Linked DNA regions of Oryzias latipes. The protein of the gene in region 2 interacts with the protein of the main gene of each other region in a biochemical or structural test. Links are inferred from orthologs where the notes say so. Each region holds a gene or a part of one and is shown on either strand. Other genes may lie near its edges.

Region 1 (5,177 bases), on a different chromosome or scaffold from region 2:
CTGTAGCATCGGCCAGCCCAAACAACCCCCCCATTGCAGACACCCCCATGGAAACATTTTGAAAGAATGCAAATGCTAATAAACAAGAGCTAATAAGCACAAAGCAAACATTAAAAACGTAAGGATTCACCAAATTACACTTAAAAAGGCTAAAAACAAAACATCTTTGACTTCAGGATTTATTATTATTGATCTGAAAAACATCGATTTCTGGTTTTGGTTTACTTCAAACAATTGCAGAAATAAATAAAAGAATAAAAATGGATGTGAAATCCATATGAATTCATGAACAAACAAAATGATGCTATTTTCTTGACAATATTATTCCTCCTCCCCACAAATATCCGTACAGTTAATGACACCCTGAATTAAATATGATAGTTGTCAAATAGAATTTAATTAATAGTTTTAAAGAAAGTGGGAAGATAATTTTTTTTACTTCTATTTACTGTTCAGAAAGTATCTTCTTAGCGTTTTCTCCAGTTCATTCACACAATCATTTCTGTCATCGTTGACTGCGACGACTCCAATGAAAGCGGAGCTCAATTTAAACGTCTAAAAGCTGATGTCTACACACCTTTATCCCTTGTTCTATCTTAGATGACCCCCACCCTTACATTGACGTGTTCTCCCTACCATGACAAAGGTGGATAAAGGTGGAAAGATTTCATGTAATCCATGGACACCAGTGAAGATCACAAATCATTGAAGAAAAAAGGTTCAGACCACTGTCTAGTGGGTCTAGATGACCCAACTCCCAATGTTAAAGTGCCTAGGATAGCACAAGGGTTAAACATGTCCTAAACATCAAGAACACCATTTCTGGGTTAGTCTGGCGGTTTATTCATCTATGGCCTAAGCTGATCCCACACACAGAAGACATCATTGTCCCAGAGCCAAAGATCATCTATACCTTTCTGTACAACAAATAAAGCTTTCCTCGCACCCAGTAAAGGCGGCAGTGGGCTGTTCCTCCATTCTGCTGCTAATTGATCAATTGTCAGCATGTGGTATTTCTTCAAAACCTTCCATCAGAGCATTTTTCTGTTGCTTTGAAACTGCTGATTTATAACTGTTCCCCTCCACCCAAAAAGGAGAATGAGAAGTAATGGAAGCTGAAGTTATAGATATTTTTAATGACCTTAAATTCAGAAAAAAGGCTTTCTTACTACAAACAACATTTCCATCACACTTGAATCCATCAGTGTGTGTAAACAAGCAGACTGTGAGTCCACGTCCCCGTCTGACCACGAAGGGAAGCTTTCATGAACGGCTTCTGGGTGGAGGCGGAGTCTGCACTTCAGGAGCTCCAAGTTCAAGTCTCATTCATCCGTGCCTTCAGTGAACGGCACCGTGTGCCGGCGCCGGCCTTCTGCAGAACGCTGAGGCCTGAAAGCATCGTCTCTGCGCAAACCTCTCAGGACCCCTCCCACCCCCGTCAGAACGGGGCAGTCTTCAGGTGGGTCACTGTCCAGGATCACGACACAGCAGAAATCCCGTCCTGAGTCGGGGAAACACCAGCCCACGTCTGCGTGGGAAGATCAAGAGCCAGGAGTTGACGCTGTTCCCCATCTCAAACACCAGGTGGCAGTGTCTTCTCACAGTCAGGGGGGGCTGCAGTCCGGCTGTGTGTGTTCGCTGAAACACAGAAGAAACCCGGACTTTAAAAAATATCTACAGCGAATTCTACTGAAATGTGCCGACTCAGCCAGGGATCCAGGTTTGTCTCATTTGCAGCTAAATGCTGAACCCAGAGAAGACTAGGGGTCCACAACTGGAGCCCCCACTGTGGCTCTTTGGGCTTGAAGAAATATATCGATGATTTAAATCAACTTCTTTTAGTTCATTTTATTAATTTTAGTTGTTCAAGTGTCAGATAAATGAGCAAAAATCATTTTAAAAGGTTTAATCTACTGGTATTAGAAAAAGCTTAAAGCACATATTCTGATCTAGTCTAGTTTCTGTTTAGCTGCAAGTTACATTTGCATTAATATGCATAGATTTTTAATTAAAATTAGATTCTACAACACTGTTGTTTCTATTCAATAGTAAAAAGAGAAAAAGGACGATGGTGCACCAGAGTTATGATGGAAATGATCAAGTTTGACTTTTTTATTTTAATTTCAGCAAAACTCCTGCAGCAGGAAGATCGTATTGACACGGGATGCATTTTATTTTGAAAGGAACTTATATGTTGTTATATAAATATAAAGAAACATTTTATTAATGAATGGTTAAGTGGCCACAAAAACTTAAAAAAAGTGTATTTTTGTATAAAGTGCAGAGGGTCTTTCTGGGTTTTGTTGGGCTTTAGTCAGTACCTCAAGGCTTTTGTAACCCTTGTGCTATCATAGGCACTTTAACATTGGGAGTTGGGTCATCTAGATCCACTAGAACAGAGGTGGGCACTGAGGGCCGCATTCCTGCATGTTTGCCAGCATACCCTGCTCTGGCATGTTCTAATTGGCTGGACACACCTGAACCAGGTAATCAGCCATGAGTAGGGCAAGACTATCTGGAAATCATGCAGACACACCGGCCCTCGAGGCCTGGAATTGCCCACCCCTGCACTAGACAGTGCTCTGAACCTTTTTTCTTCAATGATTTGTGATCTTCACTGGTGTCCATGGATTACATGAAATCTTTCCACCTTTATCCACCTTTGTCATGGTAGGAATAACGCGTCAATGTAAGGGTGGGGTCATCTAAGATAGCACAAGGGTTAAGGCTGAAGGCTGCAGACCCTGATGTGACTGCAGGGCATTGTGGGTCAGATTGTGTTTCTGCTGTGTAAGCCTTCGTCACACAGACTCACCCGTCACTTTCTGGAAGCGCCTCTTGGCCTCGGCTCGCTCCTCGGAGTCAAAGTACCAAACTGTGATGGCGTACCTGAAAGCAGAACCAAAGGTGAGCCTTCGTCTTTGTACGCACAAACAAATGGAAGCCGATCAAAAACGTCGATCCCGGGCTGTAAATCTGCAGGATTTTACAGTCTTCTATGCAACGTAAGACCAATTTCACCAAACACGACACCTAAATGGCACATTGCTACATCCCGTAAATTCTCGACAGTTAATGCGATCACCATGAATCAGCTGAGCGACATGGATGCTTTTCCTCAGCGTCAGACGTCTAGAATGCCAGTTTAGCTCGTGCTGGTTTGCGGCGCCTTCCGTCCGTGAAACCCGGGTTCGACTCCGGGCTGCTCCCTGTTCCCTTCTCTACCTCTGCCGGTTCCAAGCCCGGTTTGAGAAGGTTGTGTCAGGAAGGGCATCCGGCGTAAAACATTGCCAAATCTACCATGCGACTCGTTCGCTGTGGCGACCCCTGATGGGAGAAGCCGAAAGTGGAAGAAGACGTCTAGAATGCAGAGAGACAACCACAAAACGGCGCCAAGCCGCTTTTCTCCGCCTAGAATCAGCGGATTTATGTTGATTCCACAAGCACTTCACTACTGAGAGGGTAAATTCCCACCAGACGTGTCAAGAACGCATGTGCAGCATGTGGGATTTTAAACACCAGAAGAGACTGGATGGGTCAAAGCGGTGCGAATCGCTGAGGTGATTCTTTCAAAATAAAGCTGTGAGAGACAAAGTTTTATTCTGAAAGTAATTTCCGAATAAAGCTGTGAGAGACAAAGTTTTATTCTGAAAGTACTTTCAGAATAAAGCTGTGAGAGACAAGGTTTTATTCTGAAAGTACTTTTAGAATAAAGCTGTGAGAGACAAAGCTTTATTGTGAAAAAATAACGCCGGAACCGCAATCATTAATTCTCCTCCAGGATCTATTTTTAAACGGTTGGCTCTTCCATGAATTAAAGGGAGACACCATTCAAACGTCACCAACTAATCCAAGTCCCTGATTGGTTAAAGCTCGATAATGTCAGAGCCTGCAAATGATCTTTAAAGCGTGTGTGTGTTCACTAGAGTTCTGAATGTGGAGGCGTGAAACGCTGGTTTACGTAGACTTTGTAATGAAAGTGGTGGCTTGAACGCGCCCTGCTCAGGACGTGTTGCACATCAGCACTTCAGAATCCGCTGGAATGGTGCTTGAGGGTTCAGCGGCAGCAGCATGAAACTGGAGACTGGGGGGGTTTCTGTGGGGAATCGCACCGACGCGCCGGACATTCACCTGGTGGAGAAGGAGGGCTGCACCTCGTGCGGGTTCCTGCGGTCGGACCAGAACACCAGCAGCCGGTCGAACAGCGGCTTGATGTCGGCCACGTATGCCTTCCCGTCGGGAAAGATTCGGAGAACGCCGCCGTGCTCCTGTAGGGACAGAGCCCCGCCCCCCAGCATGAAGTCTTCTCGTCTTCCTCGCCGTCTGCGAAAGAGGCAGAGCTCAGCTCACCTTCACGTTCCAGTTCTTGTTCAGGTAGTAGATGCAGGTGAGGCGGCGTCCGTCGCCGTTCGGGTTGTCCACATGTTTGACGTAACCGGCTCCGTTTCCGGGGTAACACGCCACCATGGCCTAAGGACCGGAAACACACGAGAGGAGGACGGGTCAGAGCAGAGACCGGGTTCAAGCAGACGGCAGAACACCTCACGATGTGACGGAAGCTCAGAATTCAAACCCCACGGACAGCTGCCGTCCCAGTGGAACCTCCAGAACCACAACTGTTCCCAGCTTTGGATCAGTACTTCAACTCAGCCGCTGTGGATTCCAGCAGTCCTGCTGCTCTACAGCGCCCCCATGTGGAGCCACAAGAACTGGTTCACAGCAAAACCTCTGAATCCGGCCGGGTTTGTCTCATTTCTAATCCTTTTTATGACTTTTGACAACATTTGTTTTGATCAAACAAACTTGTTGTTGTTGTTTGTGTCGTCATGAAAAGGAGTTGATGTGAATCCACAACAGACATCCCATCATAAGCTCCTCTTCCTCACTGTCAGAGTGAGGAATGACATGTGGGGGTCAACTGGGGAAGGGGGAGGGGGGGCTGACCTGCCGCCAAATCCACATCCTGGCAGGAAGCAGGAAGCTCCACGTTTGCTCAGGCATGTGCGCACGTGCTCGTGCACGCACAAACAAAAACATAAGTGTGTCAGGGTGGGGGTTGGAGGGGCTGCAGACGGATAAATCACCTGGAGGTGTTTTTATTCCCCTTCCTGCTCCTGGGGTGGGACCCAGAACTGCTGCATTGTGGGAGAGCGTGGCTGGCTGCTGCTGGGGGGGGG
Region 2 (4,239 bases):
TTTTGTAACACTTGCAGCACAAAACGCTTGAAGTTGCAACAGATTTTTCCACAAGTTGGGATAGTTTAATTGTTTCAACTAAAGGCTGTATGGGGATGTTCAAGCAGTGTTGTATCCTCCAGTTTATTAAGATACGATTTAGTAAAATGTAAAAAAAAAAATAATAAAACCACGACGTTCCTTTTAAACAGGGTTAATTCATTAAATATTTTGTTCATTTCCTTTGTGCAAGAGCAACTGTAAATGATGTAACCACAGCATGAATACATTCATAAAAAAACACTATAGCACTATATTCAGGGTTATAAGTTAAATTGGAACTTTAAAAAAGCACAATTGTTTTGTCTAAATAAATTAAAAAAAAAGGTTTTATTTATTTAAAAGATAAAAAAACAAACATTTTTTGCCGTTTAGATTTTTTTTTGAAAAGTGACTGAAGTCTGAATATGAAATTGTCTTTCAAACAGACATTATTAGAAAGCAGCTGTTTCTGATCTAAAGATGACTTTAGACTAAAAAGACTGGAACCTCTGGCCGTTAATGACTCCTTGGGCTCCAACACAAACCTTTACCTCTGATTTTAGCAAGAAGATTCTCCAACCGTTAGAACGGAACAGATTTCTGCGTTTGCTTCATGCCAGTTAACAGCAGCACCGGAGGAGATGCTGTCACATTAACCCAATGAATCATGGGAGATGTAGTGCTGCGGTATCGATGCCGGACAGACCAGCGTCTCCAAGCTTTGTTATTTTATTCACTTTTAAAATGATCTAACACCGGATCCCATGGGAAGCTACAGCGCTAAACTCGATCTTGAGGGGATGTTTTTGTTGGAACTGAGAGACTTTGAGCCACGGAACGAGGAAGTGAAGACGATAACCACTTCTGATTGGTTAGATTGAAGAATGATGGGCGTAGACCGTTTAAGGGGTGGAACTTTTTCCAAAATGAAAGCAACTGACCAAATACATCATAAACAAACACAAAGAGAACACTCTGTTGTCTGAACCTGAAGGCTTCAAGAACCTGAGGTGTGAAGCACAAACTCCCATCCAGAGGCAACTTCAAGATAGTTTGGTTTAAGAAGCTTCACAGCAGAACAGCTAGAACAAGGCTCAAAGCAGAACCTTACGGACCAGGGCCTACAGTAAAGCTCTACAACTACAAGACATGTGCACACGTTCACCATGATCCAGATCAAAACATCTTATCCAAATTCCTGAATTAAGTCGGACCAGAGAACTAAACCTGTGAGAGCGAGGCCTCCGTCATCTAAAACATCTGCCCTTGACTTCCTGATCGTGCTTCTGCCTCAGGTGTGAGCCTTGATGCAGCAGAGAGGGTGTCTTCACCTTGAAGCATCAGGTGTCCTCCCTCAGCCCCTCCTCCTGATCAGGTGAGGTCAAGACTCACCTTTCAGCTCTGATCCCCTCATTTAACTTTAACGAGTCCGTGACAGAACCTGAGCCGCTGTTTTAGGTACAACGTCTGGGGGGAACACGGCGTTCCACGCCCCTGTTCCCACCTAGACCCCCCTACCTTTTGTGCCTAAATGCCAGTCCGGGGAAGGTTGCAGTTCCTCAAATGACCACAGCAGGCTGGTTTCCCATCAACTCCCATCTTACAAAAATCCAACATGACAGCAGAAATGACCTTCTGACATCCTACACAGAAATGTCGGTATGGGGTGAGGGTGCCTTTTATTAAACTACAGATAGTTTTAGGTCACTTGTGGATTTATCTATCCCTTGACTTTGTGCCAAATGGAGATGCTCAAAAAATTGAAGTGGGGGGAGGAATTCTCACTTTAATTCCGTTCGTAATCTTTTAAGTGACGTCAGAGAATATAGGTCCATTGTTTGTGGTTCCTAAAACCTGAAACTGACATGTCCTACTGTTATCTCAGACAGTGAACGCAACATTCAGTTTGATGGTTCGTTTGTTTACGTTTTATACCTCTGTGTCATTCTGTTTGCCCTCTGAGTTTCAGAAAAGTTCGACTGGACCACAAAGAGAAGCTGGTTGATACTGCAGAACCGCTGCGGACCCGAACTGTGGGCTGGGCGGCCGGCTCACCTTGCAGGGGAACGGCAGGGTGGACGCCACCTTCTCCATGGCCAGGTTACGGATGCTCGGGCTGAGCGGGCCGCGGCAGGTCGGACAGCAGCTCAGCTTCTGCCGGCACGGGTTGCAGACCAGGTGACCCGACTGGCACTGCAGGATGGGCGGCAGCACGTAGTCGAAGCAGACGGGACACTCGAACAGCGCCGTGAGTTCCGTCGGCTGCCCGGGGAGGCCGGCTGCGGGCAGAGACAAGACGGAGGAAGATGCTGCCGAGCCCGACCCGGCCACAGAGCCCACACCGGCGCCGGCGGCCACGGCCGCGGCGGCAGCAGCTGCGGCGGCTGAAGCGGCTCCGTGCTTCCCCCCGCCTGCTTTCGCGGCCCCGAGTCCTCCGGCTCCGGCTGAGGACGGACCGCTCATGGCTCCCAGCTGCGGTCCTAGTCCGACGAGCGGCCGAAGCGGAGGTTCTGTCATCTGCCGCTCACAACCTGACCCAGCAGAGCCAACATGGCGGCTGTCGGTTTGTACCATGACCGCGCGCTGTCATTGGCTGCTTCCTGACTGAATGGCAGGAGCGTCAGCCAATCAAGCTCTGGAGGCGTGTCCTCACACGAATGTTTTTCCTGGAGACCAAAAATATTAAATAAAACCGCTGAAGGAGAAAAGATCCAAGGAGAACAGGACGATCATAAAAATACTGCTTTTAAAAAAGCATAAAAAATATTAACTGATGTTTGTGTGCACGTGATTATTAGTTTGTGTGTGTGCATGTATATAGTGTGGCGACCTGGGGGTTAGCCCTGCCTTCAGCTCCGAAGGCTCATGGGAAGTGGGGAATCTTGGGTGTAAAGTTCCTCACCATGAGTGAGGGCGTTGTGAGCAGAAGTGACCTCCATGCTGTTTGACTGTTTAAGTGGTTTTCAAATAAATAGGCCCTGAATCTAGAAAAGAGATTATGCTTCTCTGCCTGCTTGGGTTGTTACAATTTGTCTGGGTGTGTGATTGTATTATTGACTGGACATGGACCAATGAGTTATATTGCGAGAGGAGACACGCCCACTTCGGAAGCCTAGCCAATGGTGGCGGAGTGCTACGCCACCTTGGTGAGGTCGTCGGTGCCCACATGACAACGCTTTCTAGTTGCAGGACTTCTTACAAATAAAACAATTATTACAAAGAATTTAAAAAAATAATTTTTAAACATTTATAAGTTTTAGACCTCTTTGACATGTAATTTAAATTATTTAGAAAAGCACAACATTAAGTGAATAATAAGTCAGTAATTATAATAATGATATTAATATTAATAAGACATTTTCTATGAGTGACATCACATGCAATCCATCCTGTCATATTAAACCGTCAATGATATGTACTGAGTGACCCATCCCCCTTCGTGTTCCAAACAGGAAGTACCCGCTGGTTCAAAAACAAGACAAAATACCACAGATTCTTTAGAAAAATAAATACTCTGTCATTCTATTTGTCAGATTAATCATTCTATGGCTGCCACCTTTTTAATATGTTTTTGTTTCTTTATTGCAAGGTATTCAAGTTATAAACTGACCAGTCAGAGTCCTCAGTAAAAGCATGTGGTCTCATGTCACATGTTCAATATATCTGATTGACAGATTATCCCAAGCCCGCTTTCTAGTGGAAGGGATGCAGACTTTCAACAAGCTCGCTCCTTATTGGAAAGAGTGGTTGTCATAGATACAAGACTCAAACCGATTCGGACCAATCATTGCTTACTGGTCATTTCTGGTTCCAGCATGGTGGCGTCTGTATCGCGAAAAACTGGTGGCTGAATTGACTCCAGAATTGACTCCAGAAGTAAGCCGTTTTCTATGGGTGACGTCACACTCACTCAGTCCAGTTCTTATAAGGCATCTCCAACCCTGATTAGCTGGATTGAGTGGGCCCAGATTCTGACTGACTGAACACACCCTATCTGGGTGACCAATAATTACAGAAGCAGGGTTAGCTGCAAAACAAGCAGGGCAGTAGCTCACGAGGAACAGGGTTGGAGATCACTGCATGGTCTGTAGCCTATGTGTTTTCTCTTTATATCCATGCTGTTAGTTGAACAAGCAAGACTTCTTTTTTAGTTGCTAAGCGTGTAAATGGGACTCAGTAAAGTTCAGTTTGCTGCAAACAAACACAAAGTCTGAAGGC
Region 3 (4,617 bases), on a different chromosome or scaffold from region 2:
CTTAAAAAAAAAAAAAAAAACAGCAATAAATGAAGTAATTTCTTTTATTCCACAGCTGCTTCAGTTTGATGCTGGCTACCGCTTGGGTTCAGGAGGGGGAGGAGTGAGCGACATCAAGTGTCACCCCTTCTTCAGCGGCGTATCTTGGAAAGCTTTGACCTGCTAACAAGATCACTACTTTTGCATATCTGAAAAAGTTGTGCCAACCCGGACTTTAGTGGTTCTGCTGGAGGTGGACAGAAAGGACGCAGAAACTTTCTGTGCTTCCCATGATGAAGAACCGAACAAAGGTTGGACAGAAGTGCGGACACACAGTCTGGAAAGAGGACAATCTACTTAATTTTTAAAATGTACCGATTCCTAACATGCAGTTTTGATCAATGAAATTCTACATACCACACGTGTCATTTCTGCTCATTTCCCTCAGTTATTATACAAAAGCCTATGATAGACAATAAGGGGATTCATTTATTTGATATCAACAAAAACCTAAAGTTAAACATTTTTTAATGACAGCTCATACTAACGGATATTTGTTTTAAAGTTTGGACTTATCTAGAGGAACATCCGTCAATTCTGGATGATGGTTGTCCTAACAGTCATTCTGTTAGGGAATGAATACACCAAGTCTTCAGTCTTTATGAATCACATATAAAACAGAATCATAACATATTCCCGTCAAAAACTTAAATTTTATGCTTAGTCTTATCAAGATTGAATATGGGGAGTCAAGACTTTTTTCTACCATCAAAAAGAATCCATAAATCAGTCATGAGCCGTTTTGTTCCATTTTTTGCCTTATATTCACACTTTAAAAGTAGAAAAGTTTTTGCTGAGTACTAAAGATATAAAGGTAATAGGAGTAAGATACATAAGTCATAAACATACTTAACTTCTTCATGTCTGAATATATTTTAAGCTATATAACAAAAACCATTTTGTTTTCAAGTATAAGCCAAATAAATTAAGGAAATTTTGGACCCGAAGTCGTTTAATGCAAATTTGCATCAAAGTACCGTATAAAGACCATACAGTCCCAAATCCTCCCGCTCAAATCTTTCTTTTTCTCTGGTTTGTTCAGAGGAACTGGATGACATTCAAATCAAAACAGTTGGGTAATGAAGTTTTTATTGTTTAAAACATTTTTTCTTCTTAAATAGTTTCTTACACGGCAAAAAGAGAGGTCTTCTCTCTATACTTCTTTCGCTAGATGGCATAAAATCTCAGTTTTTTCACTTTGTGAGATTTCAAGTTCTGTGCGGATTGTTCTGCTCTCAACCAAATTAATAAAATTACAATATGCAGTTTCATCTGTACTTGCCTTGTCATTTTTACAATAAACAAAAGCATTTGAGATGCATGTAGAAAATGACATATGGCAAACACCAAAGTACTTCTTTTTTTTTGTTTTTTTTAATCTAAAGACCAGCACCAGAAATCTCAGAACTCCGTCCTTCCTTTACAACGGCCTCATATTTTATCACTTCCTCCAATGTTCTTTTCAAAATCAAACTGTTTAACACAGATCCTTTATTCCTAGCTGACCAACACAATACATTAACTGCAGTTAAAGTAATGTTTATCAAGTGCGTAGAGCCACTGCTTGTGCGGACTTTGTTTTCTTTTATTAAGCTTTTTTGTGTTTTTTCCTTTTGGTTGGGGTTGGAGCAGATGTGAGATCACATGTCGAGGAGCAGCACCCTGGGGTCCTCCACTACCGACTTGATCTTACGCAGAAAAGTGACAGCCTCCCTTCCATCTATCAGACGGTGATCATATGTCAGGGCGACATACATCATAGGACGGATTTCAACCTGGAGAAACAAAGAGATCAGTAAATTGTATGTCTTTTACATGCTTTAGAGAACCAGCGATCACATTTCTCTATAAGATGTGAGAGCACAAACCTTCCCACCGACTGCAACGGGCCGGTCAAAGATGCCATGCATGCCAAGAATAGCAGACTGCGGGGGGTTTATTATAGGTGTACCGAACATTGACCCAAAAACGCCTCCATTGCTGATGGTAAAGGTGCCTCCATCCATGTCTTCAACAGCAAGCTCATTTTTACGAGCCTTTAAAGACAAAATGTGAAATTACTCAACAATAACATCTAATATTTTCACATTTTTTTGTTTTTACACACTTGCTATAAAACCTTACCTTTTCTCCCAACAAATTGATCGCCTTTTCAATATCAGCAAAGTTCATTCCTTCAACATTTCGAATGACAGGAACCACCAAACCCTGAAGAAAAAGTAGTCATTTTCTGCTCATTGTTGTTGAAGCAAAAATGTCATCCATCACTTGTTCTTTCATATCAGCGGCTTGTCTTACTTTTGGCGTGGCAACAGCAACGCTGATGTCAACATAGTCCCGGTACACGATCTCTTTGGTTGTGTCATCAATCACTGGAAATATAGCATTAACAAAAATTGGTTAATTGAAATATTTGATAACATTAAGCTGTGGAAAAAACAAAACCAAAGGAACTTCCTCTCAAGACAAGGTTCCTCTGCCATCAACTACTTTCTGTCATGTGCAAGTGAAACCCAAAGACAATTATAGATTTTTGAAGGCAGCAGCACAGACCCCCCGTTTCTCTGTGGTCGACTTAAATAGGTCAGAGCAGTCTAAGTGAAATAAATAAGTTAACACTGGTTTTGAGGTTGGGCAATGAAAAATATTTCCTTCGCTACATACAGACTCTATGACGCCCTACCAAAGACGCTAAGGTGCAGTCAGAGTGAAACCACAAAGCCAAGGCATTGGAGTCTAAAAATTGAATCCAACAATTTCATACCGCCATTTACAGCAGGTTGGTCAGTTAGAGCATAAGCAGCGGCCTTTACAAATGCAGACATGAAGCCCAGTTTGATGTTGTGCTTTTTCAGGAAGGCGTCTTTGTAGTTCTTCCGCATCTCTGAGATGTTGCTGTGGGAATAGAGGAAAGGTACAGAACAATTAAAGTGGTGCAAAGCAGAAAAGAAAGAAAAATACATTAAATTTTAACTACTGAGTTTGAAAGTGGGACTTAAACAAATGCACAAAAAGACAAAGAAAGACGTTTTTTAAAAGAAGAAAAATAAAAGTTCATAAAAAATTAACCATTAGGACAAAAGTAAGCAGAAACATTTTGTTCATGGCTTTAAAACAACACAAAGGTTAATAAAGCTATAGAAATTATCCCGTTAATTGTTTCACAATTGCTCATTTTTCTCTTATATCTATCTTTTTAATTGTTTGTTTTCCTGTCTCTAACCCTGTTGAAGCTCTAGGGTTTCTCCGCTAACATAATTAGCCCCTCCCAAGACACAGACTCTCCGAGAAAGGAGAGAAGAAGCGATAAAAATCTTCACTTTCTAGAGCCTGTAAATCTTATTGGGCTGTCATAAAAGCCCATATCGGTTGAGGCAGCTCTTCCACTCAGTGCGCTGGTCTCTATGGGCCCTCGCAGATGCTCCAGCCTCCTGTTCTGACTAGTTCCTTCAGCTTCAGATTAGCCCTAGCCTGGGAAGTCTTCCTCCAGACCATCAATGTCAATCTAATTAGGATACATAGAAACCCCTGAATAGCCGAAAGCTGACACCACACATTTGCGGGGGAAAGAAATCCTCAAAGTGTCCTTTCCAGCACAGAGGGGCAAGTGCAGACACTAACATTTCCTTCTAAATTAATAAAACTTGTTTTAACAATTCTTATCTTTGTTTTTAGATGGAATTACGACCAAATATTTACATTCCAGCGTTAACAGGATATTGTGTTTCAAAAAGCTTTTCCAATTGAGCAGATTCCAATCTATAACCATTTGTGGAAGTGTTACTTTGGCTTAAAACTAATGTATACAATAGAGGCCTGTAGGTAATGTATTCATATAAGCCCCAGAGAAAATGTTCTTGCACATGTGCAAAAGAGTTGACAGTTGGAAGTTTTTTAACTCCCTCAAAAGTTTTTGCTAACGTGTTCAAATGGTGAAGTGCATCATCTAAAACTGTATTCTGGGTCTGTTTATGTAGGTCATCTAATTAACGGTTTCCTACCTCATGTCGACCTCATTAAATGTTGTCAGCATAGCGCAGGTGTTTTGGGCTTCCTTCAGTCTCTGGGCAATTCTTAGTCTCATGCGATTCATCTTCACCTAAAAGCAGAAAAAATATTCAACAAAACCGTATCGACAAAAGTGAACTTTATGGAACAAATCTCTATATTCGTACTTCAAGATCTTACCCTGCTCTCTGTCCTTGCTGCTTTAGCCCCGCCCTCTGTGTGGGTCACTGGTGCAGCTTGGGAAACAGTGGGCTTAATGGCTGAAACTATGACAGAAGAGTAAACAGGCAGTCAGAACATCCAGACTTTAAGCCTTGGACTGATAATGGGAAGTTAAAGGTCAAGAAAACAGCAACAGGGTTCTGATGTGACCCCTGCTGACTGTTGATGACTCCTAACCTGGTTTAGTGTCCATTGCATGCGCTGGCACAGGTGGCACAGGAGGCATGGTGGTGGGAATGGGTCCCACAGTTGAAGGGGGAGGAGGTGGAGGAGAAGGTGGGGCAGCTGACGGTGGAGGAGCTGCAGCCGCTGGGGCCTCTGCTTTTGGAGGTTCTGCAGCTTTAGGGG

What was found.
Region 1: the proteins of E3 ubiquitin-protein ligase Siah2 (region 2) and egln3 form a complex in vitro, tested with the Homo sapiens proteins (2 studies listed by BioGRID). The link is inferred for Oryzias latipes from reciprocal best matches to the Homo sapiens genes SIAH2 and EGLN3.
Region 3: the proteins of E3 ubiquitin-protein ligase Siah2 (region 2) and dlst form a complex in vitro, tested with the Homo sapiens proteins (2 studies listed by BioGRID, with this or other methods). The link is inferred for Oryzias latipes from reciprocal best matches to the Homo sapiens genes SIAH2 and DLST.

What each region holds. Positions count from the first base shown.
Region 1 is NC_019880.2:24,323,103-24,328,279, forward strand, and holds the end of egln3 (egl nine homolog 3), read right to left. Parts: intron 4,471-5,177; coding exon 4,351-4,470; intron 4,269-4,350; coding exon 4,132-4,268; intron 2,890-4,131; coding exon 2,816-2,889; intron 1,639-2,815; coding exon 1,574-1,638; 3' UTR 1,112-1,573; downstream 1-1,111. UniProt on the Homo sapiens protein: Prolyl hydroxylase that mediates hydroxylation of proline residues in target proteins, such as PKM, TELO2, ATF4 and HIF1A. Target proteins are preferentially recognized via a LXXLAP motif.
Region 2 is NC_019872.2:23,479,506-23,483,744, forward strand, and holds the start of E3 ubiquitin-protein ligase Siah2, read right to left. Parts: upstream 2,801-4,239; 5' UTR 2,596-2,800; coding exon 2,077-2,595; intron 1-2,076. UniProt on the Homo sapiens protein: E3 ubiquitin-protein ligase that mediates ubiquitination and subsequent proteasomal degradation of target proteins.
Region 3 is NC_019880.2:13,508,252-13,512,868, reverse strand, and holds the end of dlst (dihydrolipoyllysine-residue succinyltransferase component of 2-oxoglutarate dehydrogenase complex, mitochondrial), read right to left. Parts: coding exon 4,447-4,617; intron 4,314-4,446; coding exon 4,228-4,313; intron 4,139-4,227; coding exon 4,041-4,138; intron 2,935-4,040; coding exon 2,804-2,934; intron 2,412-2,803; coding exon 2,338-2,411; intron 2,248-2,337; coding exon 2,164-2,247; intron 2,076-2,163; coding exon 1,908-2,075; intron 1,815-1,907; coding exon 1,680-1,814; 3' UTR 1,112-1,679; downstream 1-1,111. Other genes in the region: rps6kl1 (ribosomal protein S6 kinase-like 1), read left to right, coding at 56-166. UniProt on the Homo sapiens protein: Dihydrolipoamide succinyltransferase (E2) component of the 2-oxoglutarate dehydrogenase complex. The 2-oxoglutarate dehydrogenase complex catalyzes the overall conversion of 2-oxoglutarate to succinyl-CoA and CO(2).